Linked DNA regions of Danio rerio. The protein of the gene in region 1 interacts with the protein of each later gene in a biochemical or structural test. Links are inferred from orthologs where the notes say so. Each region holds a gene or a part of one and is shown in the gene's direction. Other genes may lie near its edges.

What was found.
Region 2: the proteins of ccna1 (region 1) and mybl2b form a complex in vitro, tested with the Homo sapiens proteins (2 studies listed by BioGRID, with this or other methods). The link is inferred for Danio rerio from reciprocal best matches to the Homo sapiens genes CCNA1 and MYBL2.
Region 3: the proteins of ccna1 (region 1) and mcm4 form a complex in vitro, tested with the Homo sapiens proteins (2 studies listed by BioGRID and IntAct, with this or other methods). The link is inferred for Danio rerio from reciprocal best matches to the Homo sapiens genes CCNA1 and MCM4.
Region 4: the proteins of ccna1 (region 1) and cdkn1a form a complex in vitro, tested with the Homo sapiens proteins (2 studies listed by BioGRID and IntAct, with this or other methods). The link is inferred for Danio rerio from reciprocal best matches to the Homo sapiens genes CCNA1 and CDKN1A.
Region 5: of the proteins of ccna1 (region 1) and si:ch73-368j24.12, one has a biochemical effect on the other in vitro, tested with the Homo sapiens proteins (2 studies listed by BioGRID). The link is inferred for Danio rerio from reciprocal best matches to the Homo sapiens genes CCNA1 and H1-5.

Annotation. Positions count from the first base shown.
Region 1 is NC_133185.1:39,928,473-39,932,625, reverse strand, and holds the start of ccna1 (cyclin-A1), read left to right. Parts: upstream 1-1,337; 5' UTR 1,338-1,416; intron 1,417-1,496; coding exon 1,497-1,643; intron 1,644-1,720; coding exon 1,721-1,901; intron 1,902-3,772; coding exon 3,773-3,891; intron 3,892-3,970; coding exon 3,971-4,153. UniProt on the Homo sapiens protein: May be involved in the control of the cell cycle at the G1/S (start) and G2/M (mitosis) transitions. May primarily function in the control of the germline meiotic cell cycle and additionally in the control of mitotic cell cycle in some somatic cells.
Region 2 is NC_133186.1:1,643,985-1,647,504, forward strand, and holds part of mybl2b (v-myb avian myeloblastosis viral oncogene homolog-like 2b), read left to right. Parts: intron 1-2,010; coding exon 2,011-2,153; intron 2,154-2,231; coding exon 2,232-2,331; intron 2,332-3,520. UniProt on the Homo sapiens protein: Transcription factor involved in the regulation of cell survival, proliferation, and differentiation. Transactivates the expression of the CLU gene.
Region 3 is NC_133199.1:39,257,467-39,260,986, reverse strand, and holds part of mcm4 (DNA replication licensing factor MCM4), read left to right. Parts: intron 1-317; coding exon 318-445; intron 446-1,018; coding exon 1,019-1,226; intron 1,227-3,520. UniProt on the Homo sapiens protein: Acts as a component of the MCM2-7 complex (MCM complex) which is the replicative helicase essential for 'once per cell cycle' DNA replication initiation and elongation in eukaryotic cells.
Region 4 is NC_133197.1:623,133-627,284, reverse strand, and holds the start of cdkn1a (cyclin-dependent kinase inhibitor 1), read left to right. Parts: upstream 1-1,337; 5' UTR 1,338-1,532; intron 1,533-3,092; exon of another isoform or gene 3,093-3,096; coding exon of another isoform or gene 3,097-3,135; intron 3,136-4,152. UniProt on the Homo sapiens protein: Plays an important role in controlling cell cycle progression and DNA damage-induced G2 arrest. Involved in p53/TP53 mediated inhibition of cellular proliferation in response to DNA damage.
Region 5 is NC_133182.1:6,162,033-6,164,497, reverse strand, and holds si:ch73-368j24.12 (histone H1-like), read left to right. Parts: upstream 1-1,221; 5' UTR 1,222-1,263; coding exon 1,264-1,869; 3' UTR 1,870-1,960; downstream 1,961-2,465. UniProt on the Homo sapiens protein: Histone H1 protein binds to linker DNA between nucleosomes forming the macromolecular structure known as the chromatin fiber. Histones H1 are necessary for the condensation of nucleosome chains into higher-order structured fibers.

The DNA of each region.
Region 1 (4,153 bases):
ATATTTTATAACAGGCAAGTAAGAATGCCAAAATTTTCCATTAATATATTAAAGATATTTTTTCCTCATCAATCACTTCTCATATGTGAGGTGTAAGGTCTGTCTTTGCATGAACAATTGACTGAAACGGCTTTACACCTCGCAAAGTGAAATAAAAAACACTAAAATGTTTAAAATAAACAGGGACAAACTGCCTGATATGTTCTATTTTATCAATGTTATGGGCAAACTTTTTTGTGACTAAAATTTGAGCAAAACAAGTTGCCAAAAGGCCTGATGTGTCAACATGATACATAATACATTTCAAAAAACATGTATAGGCTATGGTATAAAACCACAGACTGTAAAATATAGTATTAAACTGGATCTTGATAGAAGGATTAATAAACAATTTAGTTCCAAAAAAATGTGAATATTCTGACTATTTGTTCATGGTTCAATCTTAACAGGGTTAAGAATTGTTATAATCAAGTATATAAAATTCATATAAGGGAATTTTTCATCCAAATATTACTTTCTACTTTATCTGAAATATAATGATATAATGTGATCCCTCTTGTTTAGGCAAAATAATTAATTAATTAATAATAAATAATGATAAAGATTTTTTTTTTCAAATTAATCATAACTTTTGACCTCAACTATACTGTATGTATGATTTAACAGTCTATTTTGATAAAAATTTAAAAAAATATATGAACACTTTATTTTTCAGAGATGGGTTGTGGCTGGAAAGCAATCCGATGCGTAAAAAACGTGCTGGATAAGTTGGCGGTTCACTCCGCTGTGGCGACCCCAGATTAATAAAGGGACTAAGCTGAAAATGAATGAATAAATGAACACTTTACACTTGGACGTGTGACTGCATGTTATTGTTTTCAATGATTTTAAATTAAAGCGTGTGTGCCAACATATGCAACTCATGGTAAATTCTTTTATTTAATAAAACACATTATTTTACTCGTATAAAATGCTTAATAAATATTTTTAACAAAACAGATTTATTTATTTTATTATTTAACTCTTAATAAGGATAATTTAAAAAATCGTTTTTTGTGTCTCTCCACTACAGCTTGGTCCCGCATTCATTTCAAAGGAGCGCTACCCTGTACTAAAATGTCGGCTCTATCGACGCATTCCTTCTAATAAACAACAACAGGATAGGCGACATCTAATGTATATATATCTATATAACTGCAGCGCATACATACCGCGTTTCCATGGTTGCGTTGTTGTCGAAACATTATTTGCAACACCTGAGAAATGCAACACTAATTAGGTAAACCATCAACTAGCCTCATGTTGATTGGCCACCTGCAAGTATAAATGAGTTAGCGTGAAACTCACTTGTAAAGCACTTTAACCAATCCACTGAAAGTTCATACGTTTAAAAAAAAAAGTTTGACGATATAAAAGGTTTGTTTTGAATGGTTCGGTTTTAAATATTAACTTTAATTTATTACACAACATCTTGAAAAAAATCTCGATTTTGACAGATGTCTTCGCGCAGTTTTGCTCCTCTTTCCAGTCGTCAGGAGAACATTTTAGGAAGAGCGGAAGGCCTGCGCCAGCTCAAGCCCGGCCAAAGAATTGTGCTCGGTGTTTTGACCGAGAATGAGCAGCATAATCGAATATTTGGACAGGTACATTGTAGATGTTTGCCTTCTGTTATTAACAAATGGATGGTTAAACAAATTGACGTTTCTCTCGTTTAACCCAGGTTGCGTCCAAATATGAGACAACGCTCCAGGAGGTGTCTAAGCGTGACGTCAGTACGTTCAGAGCGTCAATTGGTGATAGTGTGATTGAGACAGCCACTGTACAGTCAGTCAAGTCAACATCATTCCTGCTGCCTTCAGAACTGCTAGTACTCGACGATGCTGTTCAAGATATTGGCTCAGGTGTGTTATAATCTACAAGAATAAGTTTTATCACATATATACATGTTTAGCTTAGCTTAGAAGTAACTTACTGTTATGAAGCTACTCAATTGCTACTGACTGCTGTGTTATAGTCAGTGTTGTGAAAAGTAACTTGAAAGTAATGTTACAATATTGAGTTACTCCCACAAAAGTAACTAGTTGTACTTTGTTTTTATGGCAAGAAATCCGTTACATTACCTTTGCATTACTCTGTATTACCTGGCTGAGACTTTTTCATAACTTGTTTGTTTAAATAGAGGAGCTCTGCGATTAGATGAGCTGTTTTAATTTAAGCAGACCTTTTATTTACCTTTTAAAATAAAAAAGCATATAAAATATTTTAGTTAACCGAGAACTTCCTGACCCCAGAACTATGAGCCGCATATACAGATTGTTTAAAGTAATGTTTGTCAAGTGAAATCACTGTCCATTGAGACTATAATCCCCTTTTTCCTCTTAGATGCGTTCAAAATAATGATTTTTCTCTCATTGACTTATTTTAATTTAGCTTTTAGTCTTTTTAAAAGCGGATTAAACTAAAATGACGTGTTTTTCAAAAATAGCTCAAATATTGCGTTATTTAGGAGAGCAATATTATGGATCTCTCGTTACTTGTAAGTTTACCCCAACACTTGAATGTTTTACCTTTAGTGAAATGCATTTACCATTGTAACTTTCCTTGTATGTAGAAATTGAGTGCTTTTTTAAATGTATTTATTTATTTTATTTTTTGCATGCATAATGCAATATACTGTAATACTAACCTTGTGCTAAATCGTATAGAAAAGGAATTGCTAAGCAAGAATTGGTTTAGTAATTTGTCAAACTAAGTTTTAACAGGCGGTAAAAGATGTTAAATTGTGGTATAAGGAGTTAATGTTGGCTTAATTTCCGTTAATCAGAAGTTATAAGAACAGACAAATATTTTCAATGTAGAAAACCACATTCGCTCCTCCCCCAAACAAAACCGGAGTAGTTGATTTTCTTTCATTAACGTTAATTCAAGTTTACTTGTAAAGCACTTCTCAATTATTGTTTCAAAGCAGCTTAAAGGTGCATGTTACATTATTCAAAATCTGAAGTTGAGTTGTGTACAGCCTAATTACTGGTTTGTAAACATTCAGGATGCACACGCAGCAGGGTTGCAGAAACCTGGTGCGGGAATGACATCCGATGTGGGACAGAGTTTGTTTTATTGAAGTTATATTGATTACATATTATATTTATTAACATAATGCTTTCAGCATATTTTAACAGCTTGTCACCCAGTGATGAGCACAGTTATTCGGCATAATTTGGGCAGTATATAAACGGTTAACTTGCAGGTACAGTATACACGGGGCTGACTTGGTGATTTGGGTGCCCTAAGCAATTCCAGGTACAGGGCCCTAGTGTTGAAACACTCTAGATTTTTTTATTATTATTTTTTTTGTAAACTTAAAACGTATATTAAGTCAAGTCTTTATCTTAATGTAACATTTAAATATAAGTTCAAAGACTATGTACACATTGTACAGTTAATTTTATTTATTTAATTTAGTATTTCATGTGGCGTTGCCGGTTTTGAAAAGTGTCTATAACTTTTTTTAACAATATTAATAGTTATAGACAGATTTTACAATTACTATTTGATTAACATGGGCTTCTTAGCACTGGTCAGGCCCCCATATTCCCCAGAGCCCTAAGCGACTGCTTACTTCGCTTATTGGTTAAGTCCATCCATGGTTATTGTGTCCTTTCAACAACAACAACAACAACAACAAAAAAATCAACAATGCAGTATTTTGAATGCACTAATCCATATCACAGATTGATTTGTGGCCTAAAACTGTCTTTTCTAAACACTTCAGGGTCATTTATGGATTCATCCATGCATTCATTGGCTGATGAAGAAGCTGCTTCCTCTGAGGACGTCTTGTGTGTTTCTGAATATGCTGAGGACATCCACAGATACCTGCGTGAATGCGAAGTTTGTCTTTTTAGTTTAACCTGTTTTAGTTTAGTTTGTTTTGCTCTGCATCTACACTTTTTTTTTTTTTGTGCTTCAGGTTAAATACAGACCAAAACCCGGCTATATGAGAAAGCAGCCTGACATAACCAACTGCATGAGGGTCATTCTTGTGGACTGGCTGGTGGAAGTTGGCGAAGAATACAAGCTGTGCTCTGAGACCCTGTACCTGGCTGTCAATTACCTGGACCGCTTTCTTTCGTGCATGTCTGTCCTGAGAGGA
Region 2 (3,520 bases), on another chromosome or scaffold:
TGCTTTTATTGCACAACATACAGTATATGCCATGTCTAAAATTAATGGATATTAATGAAATAATTAATAAAACAAACCAGCAAAATAATGGAGCTGCTAAATAAACTAAATATTTATTTAATTAACTAAATAAACAATTTTTTTATTTAATTTCTGGTTTTCAATCGGATAAAACAAATGCATTTCAATAATAATCATTTCTTAATAAAAAGTGTGCAATATCAGTGAATCAGCTACGCTGATCAATCCACAATATTTAGTGGCTGCATTTTATTTATTTATTGAAATATTGTGAATTTGCGTACATATATTTTAATTAATAATATCAACAACTAAATCATATTGGGTGGTCAAATATTAATGTTGCATCACTGCTTAATATGGCTGTCAGATCATTGAAACTGTAATCTTTTATTTATTTTTTTGACACTATGTAATTTTGAAGAAGGTAATGATTCGCACTCAATTGCTTCGTACTGTTTTTATTTGTACTTTTTCTTATATTTTATGGATGATAACAGACGTTTCGGCACAAAGCCTTCCTCAGTGTGTGACACAATTCTCTAACTCCACCCTTTTATTCCATAGTCAATCACAATGTGCAATTAGTTAAACCGTCACTCTCATTTCATTATCCATTAATCACACAATAACTTATAATCTTCACAGCAATGACAATAAACAATCTTCCCATTTCCGACCTAACTCTACAGAGAGAAAGTGTATAAACTATTATCATTAATCAGGTGTACATCAATACAATAAAATTCTAACAGTTGACATTAAAAGTTTTCTACATTTGACAAATACCCAAAGATTAAAAATCACATCCTGTATAATTGGTTATATGGGTAAAGGTGAAGGTAAGACTTGTGATTTTTAATCTTTGGGTAATTGTCAAATGTAGAAAACTTTTAATGTCAACTGTTAGAATTTTATTGTATTGATGTACACCTGATTATAGAGAATTGTGTCACACACTGAGGAAGGCTTTGTGCCGAAACCTCTGTTTGTCTGTTATCACCCGTAAAATGTAAGAAAAAGTACAAATAAAAACAGTACGAAGCAATTGAGTGCGAATCATTACCTTCTTTTGAATAATAGTAACGATAAGATTAACGCACCAAACCAAAGACGTAACTGAAAAAAAAGCAAGCGCCCAGGACAAACTTCAGTAACTCTGCACTATGTAATTTTGGCCACAAGAGGGCGTGTATTTTAATGACAGCCTGACTGAGCGTGGAATCATGGGAGTTGTGGTCTTTTCTACTTGTTATCTCTTAAAGTTAAAATAGCTTATTTCACAGGATCTGAGTGTTCTTTTAAACATTTGAGATAATGTTAGTACATAAGCAGAGTGGCCACAGATCCCTAAAGTCTTGCATTTCATAGTGTAAAAATAAGGCCTTAATTAGTTTTTATGTCTTAAATGCATGTTTCAAAGATCTTTAAAATATATCTCTATTTGATCACTTTTTTTTTAACAGTCAGGCTTCATTGCATAAATATTATAAGGGGTAAAAGATCTTTAAGTCCTCTAAATGCTCAATGTTCATTTATAGTCATATCACCATCTACTGGCTGCAGCAAGTGTGGCACATATAAATGGCTGCATGGTTCTCCTGTATTTACCTGCTAAAATGCTACCACAATATGCAAATTAAAGCTGCAAGTGACAATAAAATGACTCTTGCGTCTTTAATTTGTACATTTTTTTTTTACCTTATCTTTGTGTTTTGTTTTCTTTTTCTCTTTAACTTCTTGTAAAGAATTGAAAGAATCTAACTTTTAAAGGTGCAATATATGATAGTTCTTGTATTATTATAAATGTATTACAGATATGATTCTCTGATTTGATAGTTAAGCGTTTAATTCATTGACTGTCTTGTAATGTCTGTCATTTTGCATACCTAATTGCTATAGCAAAAACTTTCCTGTCAGACTTTAGGAAACATTTGACTGCTTCTGTTATTATTCAAAACCTTTAATATTATATTTGTGTTCTCAAAGTTCCTCAACATGTGGACGAAGCAGGACACGCTGGACCTGGAGAACCCGTCCCTCACCTCCACTCCCGTGTGCAGTCAGAAAGCCGTGGTCACCACACCGCTGCACCGAGACAAAACCCCGCTCACACAGAAGGAAAACTCCCTGTACGTCTCTGCGTTCACACACACAGCGATTCAGCTCTGATGTGACTGCTGAACTTGTGTATGTTTCCTCCTTTGTAGGTTTATAACACCAAATCACAAGTCTGATCTGGACACGATGCCTCGTACGCCCACTCCGTTTAAAAACGCCATGGAAAAATACGGCCCTTTGCGGCCACTGGTGAGAACATTTACTGAAAACTCTGTTCAGCCTGCATTAATGCATTCAGTATAAGCTGCATGATTAATCAGTAAAGATCTGGATTGCAACACCCACGCAACATACATTATAAATGCTTCGAATCGCTGCATTCAAATCTGTTCGAAAAACGCAACAATCAGGAGATTCAGTCTTTAGTGTTTTGAGATCGTTATGAAGTTACAGACATGCAAATAACACGGCTATACTGAAACAACAGGTTATAGTTTAGATAAAACCACTTATGTTTATGCTAAAGATTAAAATCACCGTCATTTTCATTAAACTTGACGCTTAAATTAATATTGAAGGCAGCAGTTACATTAGCCCCTTTCACACATACAGACCTTTCCGGAAAATTACCGGCAATTTTCCGTAAGGTGTGTATGTGTGAACAGGCCCTTTTTGAAAATACCGGTAAATTCCTTCTGGCTATTTTCCGGAAAGAGAAGTTGTAACATTACCGGTAATTTGCCGGAATGCTGCGCTGTAGGAAGATTGCCGGAAAGATGTCCACGTCTAGAACGTGCTGACATGAGACGTCTACTTTAGCCAATCAGAACAGTCAGACGCATTCACGTCTGCACAGTTTATGAGAATAAAAGCCTTTGAATATTTTTCCAGACACATTTAGCTGCTAGATCTTAGTCGGATAACGTTTATATGTTCATCTTAATGCCAACTGTGTAAATAATCAGCGATAAGATGTTTATGATAATCCATTGTTTGTTTACCTTCAAGCTTTGCGCATGCCCGTGAGCGCCCATAGCGCCAGCACACATGCATATCATGAACATCTCGACATGCGAAAGTGTTCCTCCAGATGTTTTCATTGGAGTTGTACTCAATACTGATCCATCCAAAGAGTTTGTAATGTAGTCAAATGTTTACAAACACAAGCTGTGTGAACGCTCTTTTTCCGGAAAAATTCCGTAAAGTCCTCGCCTGAGTGAACAGCGCTTTTTTGAATTTACCGGTAAAGTCGTTCCGGAAATTTTCTGGATATTTACTGGTATCTCTGTGTGAAAGGAGCTACTGTTTAACCAATAGTTGGCAACAACCAGCCGTCAAAAATGCGCCACTGAATAATTCTTCAGAAATGATCATCTAGCAATGAAACATGACGTTTAATGAGTGAATAACTCAATCATTTATTGAGGATGAGGCTTAA
Region 3 (3,520 bases), on another chromosome or scaffold:
TAATGAGTCAGAATTCATGAACAAAAGGCCTATAAATAGTCTCAGATTCAGTAAGTCTTACTTTTTGAAAATAACCTAACCAATACTAATACAACAAACTAATACAACATTTTCTTAAAAGGCACTCAAATGTTTAAACAATTAATCATGGTGTTTTGAGGTACCTGTGATATCAATATTGTGCATGTTCATTATCACAATATATCGAATTAATGAATACCGACATGTATCTGAAGGTGCATGAAGGATTGGGTTTGGAATTGCAATGCATTTGTTTGAACTGATGATTAATGCAGGATTGTGTGTGTGTTTCGTAGGCTGGGATTATTTGTCAGCTTAATGCTCGGACCTCCATCCTCGCAGCAGCCAATCCGGTGGAGTCTCAGTGGAACCCCAAAAAGACAACGATAGAGAACATTCAGCTGCCTCACACACTGCTGTCCAGGTACAAATTAAACAACCGTATTTATAGCGGATAATGTATATTAATCATCTGCTGAATATTTAAAACAATGTGTTTTGAAAAATATTAGTTAACATTAATTAGATTAAAAATAAAGTAAAAATGTAATGTTTAATAATTACAGTTTAAAATAGATGTTTTCTTTTAGGATGTATTACATTTTTGTAATGCAAAGTGTTGTGCTGCTTAATATTATTTGGGAACCAACTTCCTAAGTGCAGTGTTTATGTGAAATGCCAATAATTATGTGATAATTTTAATGTTTAAAAGTAAAGAAAAAAAACATTTGGATGATATAATTAAATATTAGTTTTGTCAGTATAGAAGTGTTTAATTTAAATTAGTTGTCAAATTAAATTATAAACTAACTTTAAAGACATTTATTAACAAATAGGGCAAATTTACATAAAAGAACTTAATTTTTTTTTTACTTTTGTGATCTCAAAGATTATTAATTATTCATAATATTAGTTCAACATAAGCTGCTTTTTATTTTAATGTTTTTTTTTCTTCTTTTGTCTAATAATTGTCTCTCTGCATCTGTTTTTTTTCCAGGTTTGATTTGATCTTCCTAATGCTGGACCCTCAGGACGAGGCGTATGACAGGCGTCTGGCGCACCACCTTGTCTCTCTGTATTATCAGAGTGAAGAGCAGATTGAAGAGGAGCATCTGGACATGGCTGTACTGAAAGACTACATCGCCTTCGCTCGCACAACTGTACATCCCAGACTGAGTGAAGAAGCCAGTCAGGCCCTTATTGAGGTATAGAAACACTATAACAGCACAGCATTATATGTTGCCAGCTTTGTTACTTTTAATTTAAGGACGATACTGATATTTCACTGTGATTAGCTGATCTTGATTTATTTTTTAATTGGCCATTTCATATGTCAGATTTCTTTTGCAATCAAATTGTTCGTTGTCTCTTTTATAATTAAAGGGGCTGTATGTAAGTTTTGGACTATTAATACTATAATATCCATAATATTTTTGCAGATATTTCAGAAATATGCGAAGTCAGGGCTCGAAATTGCGACTGTTTTGGTCGCAAATGCGCCCGAGAATAATCTATGCAACCTCATAATATATATGGGAGCATTAGTGCGACTGCAGATAATGGTTGTAGTGTGACCTGTTTAGATTTTTTCTAAAAACGTGCTAAATCGGTCTTCCCTGCCGCTATATTGGTTCATATTAGCTGTCAATCACTCAAGATATTCCGCAGTCAGGTGACAGGGAAGAAGCTTTTATGACCACGGGAAATGCAAACGGCTGAAGAGTGAAAACTTAAAGCACACAGGTTTGCAAACCCCACCTAAAGTTGAGGCGCAGATGAAAGCGATCATGACATGTGGTGAATATTGATCCGCCAGCTGAGATCAATCGACCATGTGCTTTTCGGAGAAGGCGCCCGAATCTCGATGCGTTGCATTCACTGCGTGTTCAGCGCAAATGTCCGCTAAAAGTTAAATCTAATACTGGACATATCATCGCCAAAGAAGCTCGCCTTTACTAAGTTCACACTGAAGCTGCGGCTCATAAACAGTGGTATTGCGCCGATGGTCATCGCAAGAATCCTGCTCTGCCTGCTCATAAATTGGGTCGGTTGACTCGCCTGCTTTTCCACAAACACAGAAAAATGAAGATCAGCTCAGACTGAACCTTTAAATTGACACAAACTGAAACCAAAACTTTTAAAGAGTGATAGAAGTGAGACTTTACTTACTTTGTTTTGTCTATTCTTTCTAGAGGTGTATATTATTTATTTTTTTATTTAGTTACTGATGACTGTTTTGCTGCTTTCAGGCTTGAATTTAATTATTTATTATAATCTTTTGTTTGTTTTATGGCAGAAATATTATTTATTAAACTGACATGCATATATTAACAGCAGTACAAAATAAATATTTCTTACTGCAATGCTTCATTTTTGTTTGATGCAAACTATACATTTATTTCTCATAAAGTAACAGACTTTTTATAGCAGATAACCTGCATTCAAGCACATTCAAGGCAGCATGATGATGAGAACTGTAATTCATTGTTACTATTATCGTCATTTTCATCAACATTAATATTTTATAATTATTCGACATTCATTTTGGAATTATTGCACACAAATATCAATGTCATTTCAGCATTAGTTAGATAGTTGTTTCTGGTTTTTGTTAGTCCTAATTAATGTTGTTTTAAAATACAGTAAATCCCTTAAAATTCAATTTGCAGCGGTGCTCAATCATTGTTGGTGGGTGCTCCTAAATTTTTGATGTCGGGAGCACTGGTGCTACCAAGTAAAAAAGTTAATTTCGAGCCCTGTAAGTGAACTTGCTTGTTTATCTGAAAAAACAATGCTGATGTCAGTTGTTCTACTTTGAAATTGTATGAAGGTCTGTCTTTGTTTTGGTCTGTGTAACTCTGCCTACTGCGATTTTTAGCCATTATATTTTGGCACCCCAGGTTGCCTTGGTTGAAGACTGCCGTCTCAATGTATGCGGGCCTTTAAAATAAGATGTAGATTCTGAGTTATAAAAATTAACATGAGGTAGTTTCAAATTGGCAAACAATAGAAAAATGTTACAAACACAAACATTAGCTGAGAAGCTTATAGTGTAATGCTGGTTCACACCAACTTTAAGCTTCCCGTGAGTAAACTAGAGTGAGTGATGTTTATTTACCTCAAGCTAATTTTCTGCTCGAGTTGAATTATTTGAAGTTGCATAAATATTTTGTTGTTTGTTTTAATCCGTTTTAATCTTGCCATGAAATAGCCAAACATTGCTGATGTGGCAATAAAATAAATAAAAAAAAGACAGGCAAAAACAAGTAAAATATTTGCGCTGCACTGTAGAAATGCTCCTTTTCGATCGCGTTTGCATTGACTTCATATGTAATGTCAATCTACTTGTGTGAATACTTTGACTTTTGGCTCACTCCTGCTGGTCTCAGCAACCTGAGGAGGGGCTGGGTGGGAAAAAAAATCCAATATTTTGAATTTGGACTGCAATACCTAGTTCATCCACTAGATGTCACATACTGCACTTTTAAATAATGATCCT
Region 4 (4,152 bases), on another chromosome or scaffold:
TAAGTATGCAATAAGTATGCAAGTATATAAGTGTATATATAAATCTATTGCATCCCTGCAAAAATAAATATATAAATAATTATTCGTGCGGTTTGAAAGAAGGAAAAAAAATGCTTCATTTTCAGTTGAACATTTTCTTATTCCCCCGACATCTGTATAATTTATTTAATTAATAATCTCGCCGCACTATTTTTATATTTATTTATGCAGGAATTTGTGGGTTTTATATGTATTTATTTGCATATTTATTGTTTTATTTCTGCAGGAATTTATGGATTTATTAAGGCCTACTTATGTATTTGTGTATTTATTTATTGTTTTATGTATGAAGGAAATTGTGGATTAATAAATATTTATTCATGTATTTGCATATTTATTCATTTATTGTTTTATTTATGCAAAACTGTGGATTTATTTATTATTTATTTGCATATTTATTTATTAATTTATTTATTTATCTATTGTATGTATATATATATGTATGTATATATATATATTGTTTTATTTATGCAGGAATTTGTAGATTTATTCATGTATTTGCATATTTATTTACTCACTGTTTTATTTATGCAGGAATTTGTGGATTTACTTGTTTATTTATTTGCATATTTATTTGTTTTATTTGTGCACGAATTTGTAGATTTATTAATTTGCGTATTTATTGTTTCATTTATGCAGGAATCTGTGGATTTATACTTTTTTATTTGCGTATTTATTTATTTATAGTTTTTGCAGGCTTCATCCTCCATATCTGTACCATTAAACAAAAATTACGAAACATTGCAGTTTTATAGATACTAATCTTAGGAAACAAATATGTGTGTGTGTGTATGTGTATATATATATTAGTTCAGGAAATCTCACTTTGTTAAAAATTGTGTTCCTGACGTCATACATGCAAGAACAGTGTTTTTTCTCCACGTTTACACACTTTTTTTTTTTTCTTACAAAGGCTGAAAGACCAAAAAACACCAAGCTGTAAATCAGTACATCTGGGTGGGGTTACTATATGCCCAGCAGCTCCTGGAGAAGTACTTCAGAAATGTTTAATATATCTATTAAATATATGTGCTTATTTGAATTGTTAGCGTGATCACTGATTTCTCTATATTTGTTATTGATGAGTAAATAATAGCACAGTCTCGTGTAAAAACAGCGCGTTTTCTGGGCGGCTCCTCGGAAGGTTCTGTTCTTTTCTGTGACGCTGATCTTCTGGAATGTCTCCACGCGCTCACGTGTGGTCATGTGTTTACCGGGCTTCTAGTCCACGTGCAGCGCTCGCAGGCTCCGCCCACCGCCTCGACACGCCCATCGGAGTTCATAAAGTTTGGGAAAGTGTCGTCAGAGGCAGCAGAAAAACTCCAGTGTGCAGATCCTCCAGCTCAGGATTGAGTTTCTCCACACTTCCAGCTTCAGGTGTTCCTCAGCTCCTGTTTTAAACCTGATACTGCTCCTGAGGAGATCTGAAACCCTCACATTCACTCTGACATCAGCGGGTTTACAGTTTCAGCTCTTGCAGAAGCTCAAAACATGTAAGTTGCATGTTTTAAATACTTTTGCACGTTTGTTGTCGGGTATTTGCTTATATATTGCTTTATATATGCTGAAATTGTGTTAATGTGATGCTGTGAGTGCTTTAGTGGAACTTTTCTAAACTTTAGTTTGCTCTGTCAGATAACACTCGACTGAAATAAACACCTCAGACTGACTTTAATCGAGAACTGTGCTGATCGACCGGTGTGAGTTGTGATTGATCGATTGTTATTGTGTTATTGTGAACTCCAAAGTCTCGGTCGTATCAGATCTCGACGTGTTTTCCACCGGCTTACACGAGTTTCAGCTTCACGTGGAGCGCTGGAGTGAGAGGGCGTGTTCTTGTCAGCTTCTGGCCAATCACAGGCGGACTCGGTTTCCCGCTGACTTCTTGAATTTTTTTTTCCTCGAGATGAACGGCACGTTCCATCGCAGAAGCCAATCAGAGTCCAGTGACAGGCGCGTGACGTCACCAATGAAACTTCTTTCTTCATCTAATTTTTTTTTTTTTTTTTTTTATTTTTTAGAAAATAACTTTTTGAAAATTGGGCGGAAAAAACTCTAAAGAGCACGCCACATTACAGAAATATTCAGAACTACCAATGATTTAATACACTGTCAGATTTAGTAAGTGTATTATTTTCTATATATTTTAATCATGACATGCATTATTTCAGTGAATTATGCAGTTTAGTTTGTCAGGGTTGTGGTGTGGTAAGTCTCTTAAAAATCTTAAAGGTCTCCTGGTAAGTCTCTTAAAATTAGAATCAGACTGAACATCTTAGATAAAAAATTTGACCTCTGACCCTCAAGAACATGTTGCCCATTATAATGCACGAGAGTTCATGACGGGTGTATATATATATATATATATATATAATCATATATTTTAGTAAGTAATTTTATTTTGTTGATGATGCATATATTAAATGCACACATACAGTACATACACACCCATATATATATATATAACGCCAACTTTTATGAAGAAAACGTATAATATTGGCATTTTGCTAAGTAAATATGTAGATATCATGTATCTTACAAAGAAAAAACTCAATTTTGTTAAGTTTCATTCATTTAATGCAGATTAAGATGGATTATCATTATAAAATTACACAAAGTTTTGTGTAATTTAAACATTATTAACTTAATTTTTCAACTTTTTTAAATGAATGAAAAGTCAATCAGTTGCCTAATATGGTGATTTTTTAAAAACTATTTACCATAATATTAAGATAAAGGTTAAAAAGGAATTGAATTATAATGAACACTGTCAGTTTTAATGACAGTTCTTAATATTACATTAAGATTCTAGTTTTCAGTTTAAAGGCTTAACCAAGTTACTTTAAGTCATTGGACTACAGTGGTTTGATAATGAAGCTTCACTGCTGGACTAATAATGTAGCTGTTCAGCTGTAGGCGGCGCTGCATGTCTAGCGCTGCTCCCTCTGGCGGCCAGGCGCGCTCACTGCAGCCGCTCGAACATGCCCGAACAAATGCCGGTCCTCTGTGACTCACTGCCCAATATAAAAGCACACCAGCCCGCAGAAACTCTCAGTCATGACAGCTCAGAGGCGCAGAGCTCGCGTGGAGTCAGCAGTAGGATATTTATGCGAATTAACCAGGAAAATGTTTTATTAGCATGCGAAATGTTAAGGTTTTCTGGATTGATCTATATGTTTTTTTGTGTAATACCTTACTGAATTATGATTATGTAGTTGTCTGTAATTACCTATTGATATTTATATTATTATTTATTTTTAAAATATTAGATTATAAAGATTTTTGCATTAGTAGATAAAAAAATATTATTTAATGAAGTGTGTGTGTGTGTGTGTGTGTATACATATATTTATACATTTATTTATTTATTTTTTTTATCTATTAGAATTTTGTAGTCACCATTTGTATTTGTTTTTTTTTATCCCTTTTTGATTGATGTAACTATGTATTTATATAATAATATATATTTCTAGGTCTCTTATAGAATTATGAAGTTGTCTGTTTATGTAATATTGGATTGTTATAATGACACAAAGCTATGGTAAATCTATGCTTGGTGTTGCAAAACCCTATTTTTAGCATGGTCTAACTTCCAAATAGTAAACAGTAAACTTTAGGGCTTAAACATAGGTCTGTATGACTGTGGCTTTATTTTAAAGTACACAAGAAATCCTCTTGTTGTTAGCTCACATTGCTAATTTTGTGATGAACACTTCATCTGTGCATGTTATTAACAAAACAATAGTTTACATTGTAATCCTTAATGTAAATCTGTAAATGAACTTCCTGTTTGTTCAGGTAAATTCTCAGATTGATCTGTCTGAGGTATTGGGTGTGGCTAACATTCTTAACCACACCCCTAAAACTGTCATCGCTATGACAACAAACAAAAATAAGTAGGAGGAGGAGTCTGTTCGGTTGTAATAACTCTCCCCAAACCCTTTTCCCCATCTTTCCCCAATGGAACGCCTACTCTACTACAGCCAATCAGCTAGCAGTAGAAGAAAACAAGCCACGCCCACTGTTTTCATTTAGAATTCAGTTTGTCTAGGAACTGCGTCACAATACGAAAAAAAATGCAGGTTCTGGTTCATGTGGATTTTAAATATGATT
Region 5 (2,465 bases), on another chromosome or scaffold:
ATTGAAAAGAGACAGCAGGAGAACCACATATTTTTGATCAAAGAGCCTCATGTAGCTTCCAAGCCATAGGTTCCTTACCCCTGGTCTACATGGGTCTCAAACTCAATTTTTAGAGGGCCACAGCTCTGCACACTTTTGCTCCAACCTTAATCAAACACAGCTGATTCAAATAATCAATGTGTTTGAGACTCTTTTGAACAACTTTTGGATTAGCTGTGGTTGATTAGGGTTGGAGCAAAACTGTGAAGAGCTGTGGCCCTCCAGGAATTGAGTTCGAGAAGCATGGTCTAAATGTTTTTCACGACACAAGAATAATAGCATCTTTGGACAGAAGACATTATAGCAAGGCATCTTGTTTTTGTTAGGGTTATACTGCCACAACTATAATAAACTTCTGATGATTGCTTTGTTATTTACAGATTTTGCATTATGTAGGTTAATATGCTACTCACTGGTGCAGTATTTTAAAGTACTGAAACATCTTTAAAATACTTAAAAATACTTTAAAACATGCATTTGCTTCAAGGCAATTGATAAATAATGTAGAATTTTAATTTCATTTATACTGTGGATATTTCTTATTGCTTGAAATTAAGCTGTTCAGTATGGATGTTTTTTTATTGTTATTATTGTCTTATATATTATTTAGAATTTTTTATATTTTATTTATTTTATTGAGTGATGAACTCTGGTGTGACATGATTTTTTTTTTTCTTTTGGATTAATAAAGTTCAAACAAAGAAACAAACAAAGAAACAAAATATAAAATATACAATATAAAAAGGTCTTATTTTAAAAAATAAATAGATAAATATATATATATATATATATATATATATATATATATATATATATATATATATATATATATATATATAAACATTAACAATTCTTGCTGCATATCTTGTTTTATATTTTCACAGGTCCTATTGTGCATAGTAAAACAACTTCAGTGAAAGAACTGAGGATAAATGACTCCATAAATCTAAAACAAAATACAGGGCGTCTCCTGTTTGAATTCCATGACAAAGGCTTGACCCTCTTTATATCAAAAAGGTCTTTCTAGTCTGCTGTAAAATATTTTATTGCACTTTTTTTAGTCTTTGTTTAAACGGAGAAAGCACAAGTTTTGTGTCGAGGCGATTGTCTGAGGAGCGGCGATTGAGTCTACACGGTTCTCATGTGACAGTTAAGTTCACAGCGCCGCCCAGCAGAGCTTCATTTTTCACTGCTAGTTGTAGGTGAAGGTTACTCCTCTGAGAAATGGCTGAAACTGCTCCAGCTCCCGCTGCCACGCCGGCAAAAGCTCCCAAGAAGAAAGCGGCGTCCAAGCCCAAGAAAACGGGCCCAAATGTCCGCGACCTCATCGTCAAGACTGTGACTGCGTCCAAGGAGAGAAACGGCGTGTCTCTCGCAGCCCTGAAGAAGGCTCTCTCCGCCGGTGGATATGATGTGGAGAAGAACAACTCCCGCGTCAAAACCGCAGTCAAGGCATTGGTGACCAACGGCACTCTAGCCCAGACCAAAGGCACAGGCGCCTCCGGCTCATTCAAGCTCAATAAGAAACAAGCTGAGCCCAAGAAAGCAGCCAAGAAAACCGCCACGAAAGCCAAGAAGCCCGCCGCTAAGAAATCTCCCAAGAAGGCGAAGAAGCCGGCGGCCACATCTGTGAAGAAGGCAACAAAGAGCCCCAAGAAAGCTAAGAAGCCGGCGGCTGCCAAGAAGGCCACCAAGAGCCCCAAGAAGGCAAAGAAACCAGCAGCTGCAAAGAAAGCAGCCAAGAGCCCCAAGAAGGTGAAAGCAGTCAAGCCCAAAACGGCCAAACCCAAGGCGGCAAAGCCCAAAAAAGCGGCTCCCAAGAAGAAGTAATCTACTATTTCTGCTCGATTCTTCCATAAACTAAACGGCTCTTTTAAGAGCCACTCACATAACAGTGAAGAGCATTATTTTCAAACACTTTTAAACTACTAATCTTGAAACGGTAACTAAATATGCCACCAGAAAAATAGACCAGGGCAGGAAACGCAAACAGTTCATTTTGAAAGCAATCCCTTTCGTTCCCAAGTGAGGAAAACTTTTAAGTTTTTTTTCATCCAATTTATCTGTACTCACAATTGAATGCCTAAAATACTATACTGATGGATGCATAAATTCAGAACTAATGTAGGACGTTTTGCTTAAAGTTTACTTTAGGCATAAGTTCCCACTTGAAGCATTCGCTTCGATCTGAAAATCACATCGCTGTTAGCTTATTTTCAAAAGCTACATTAAAACATGATAAAGAAGTTATCTAAAAAACAAATAAATGTGCAAGTTTCGCCATTGTATGCAACAATAACTTATCCTGAATAAGTTTTTTTGAGCGGGAAAAGCAACTGTCTGTCAGTCGTCTGCTGGGAAAAAAAAAAAAAGTAATGCTCTGCCATTGGTCAGAATGTTCACGTCACACTGCGACATAAATGCAA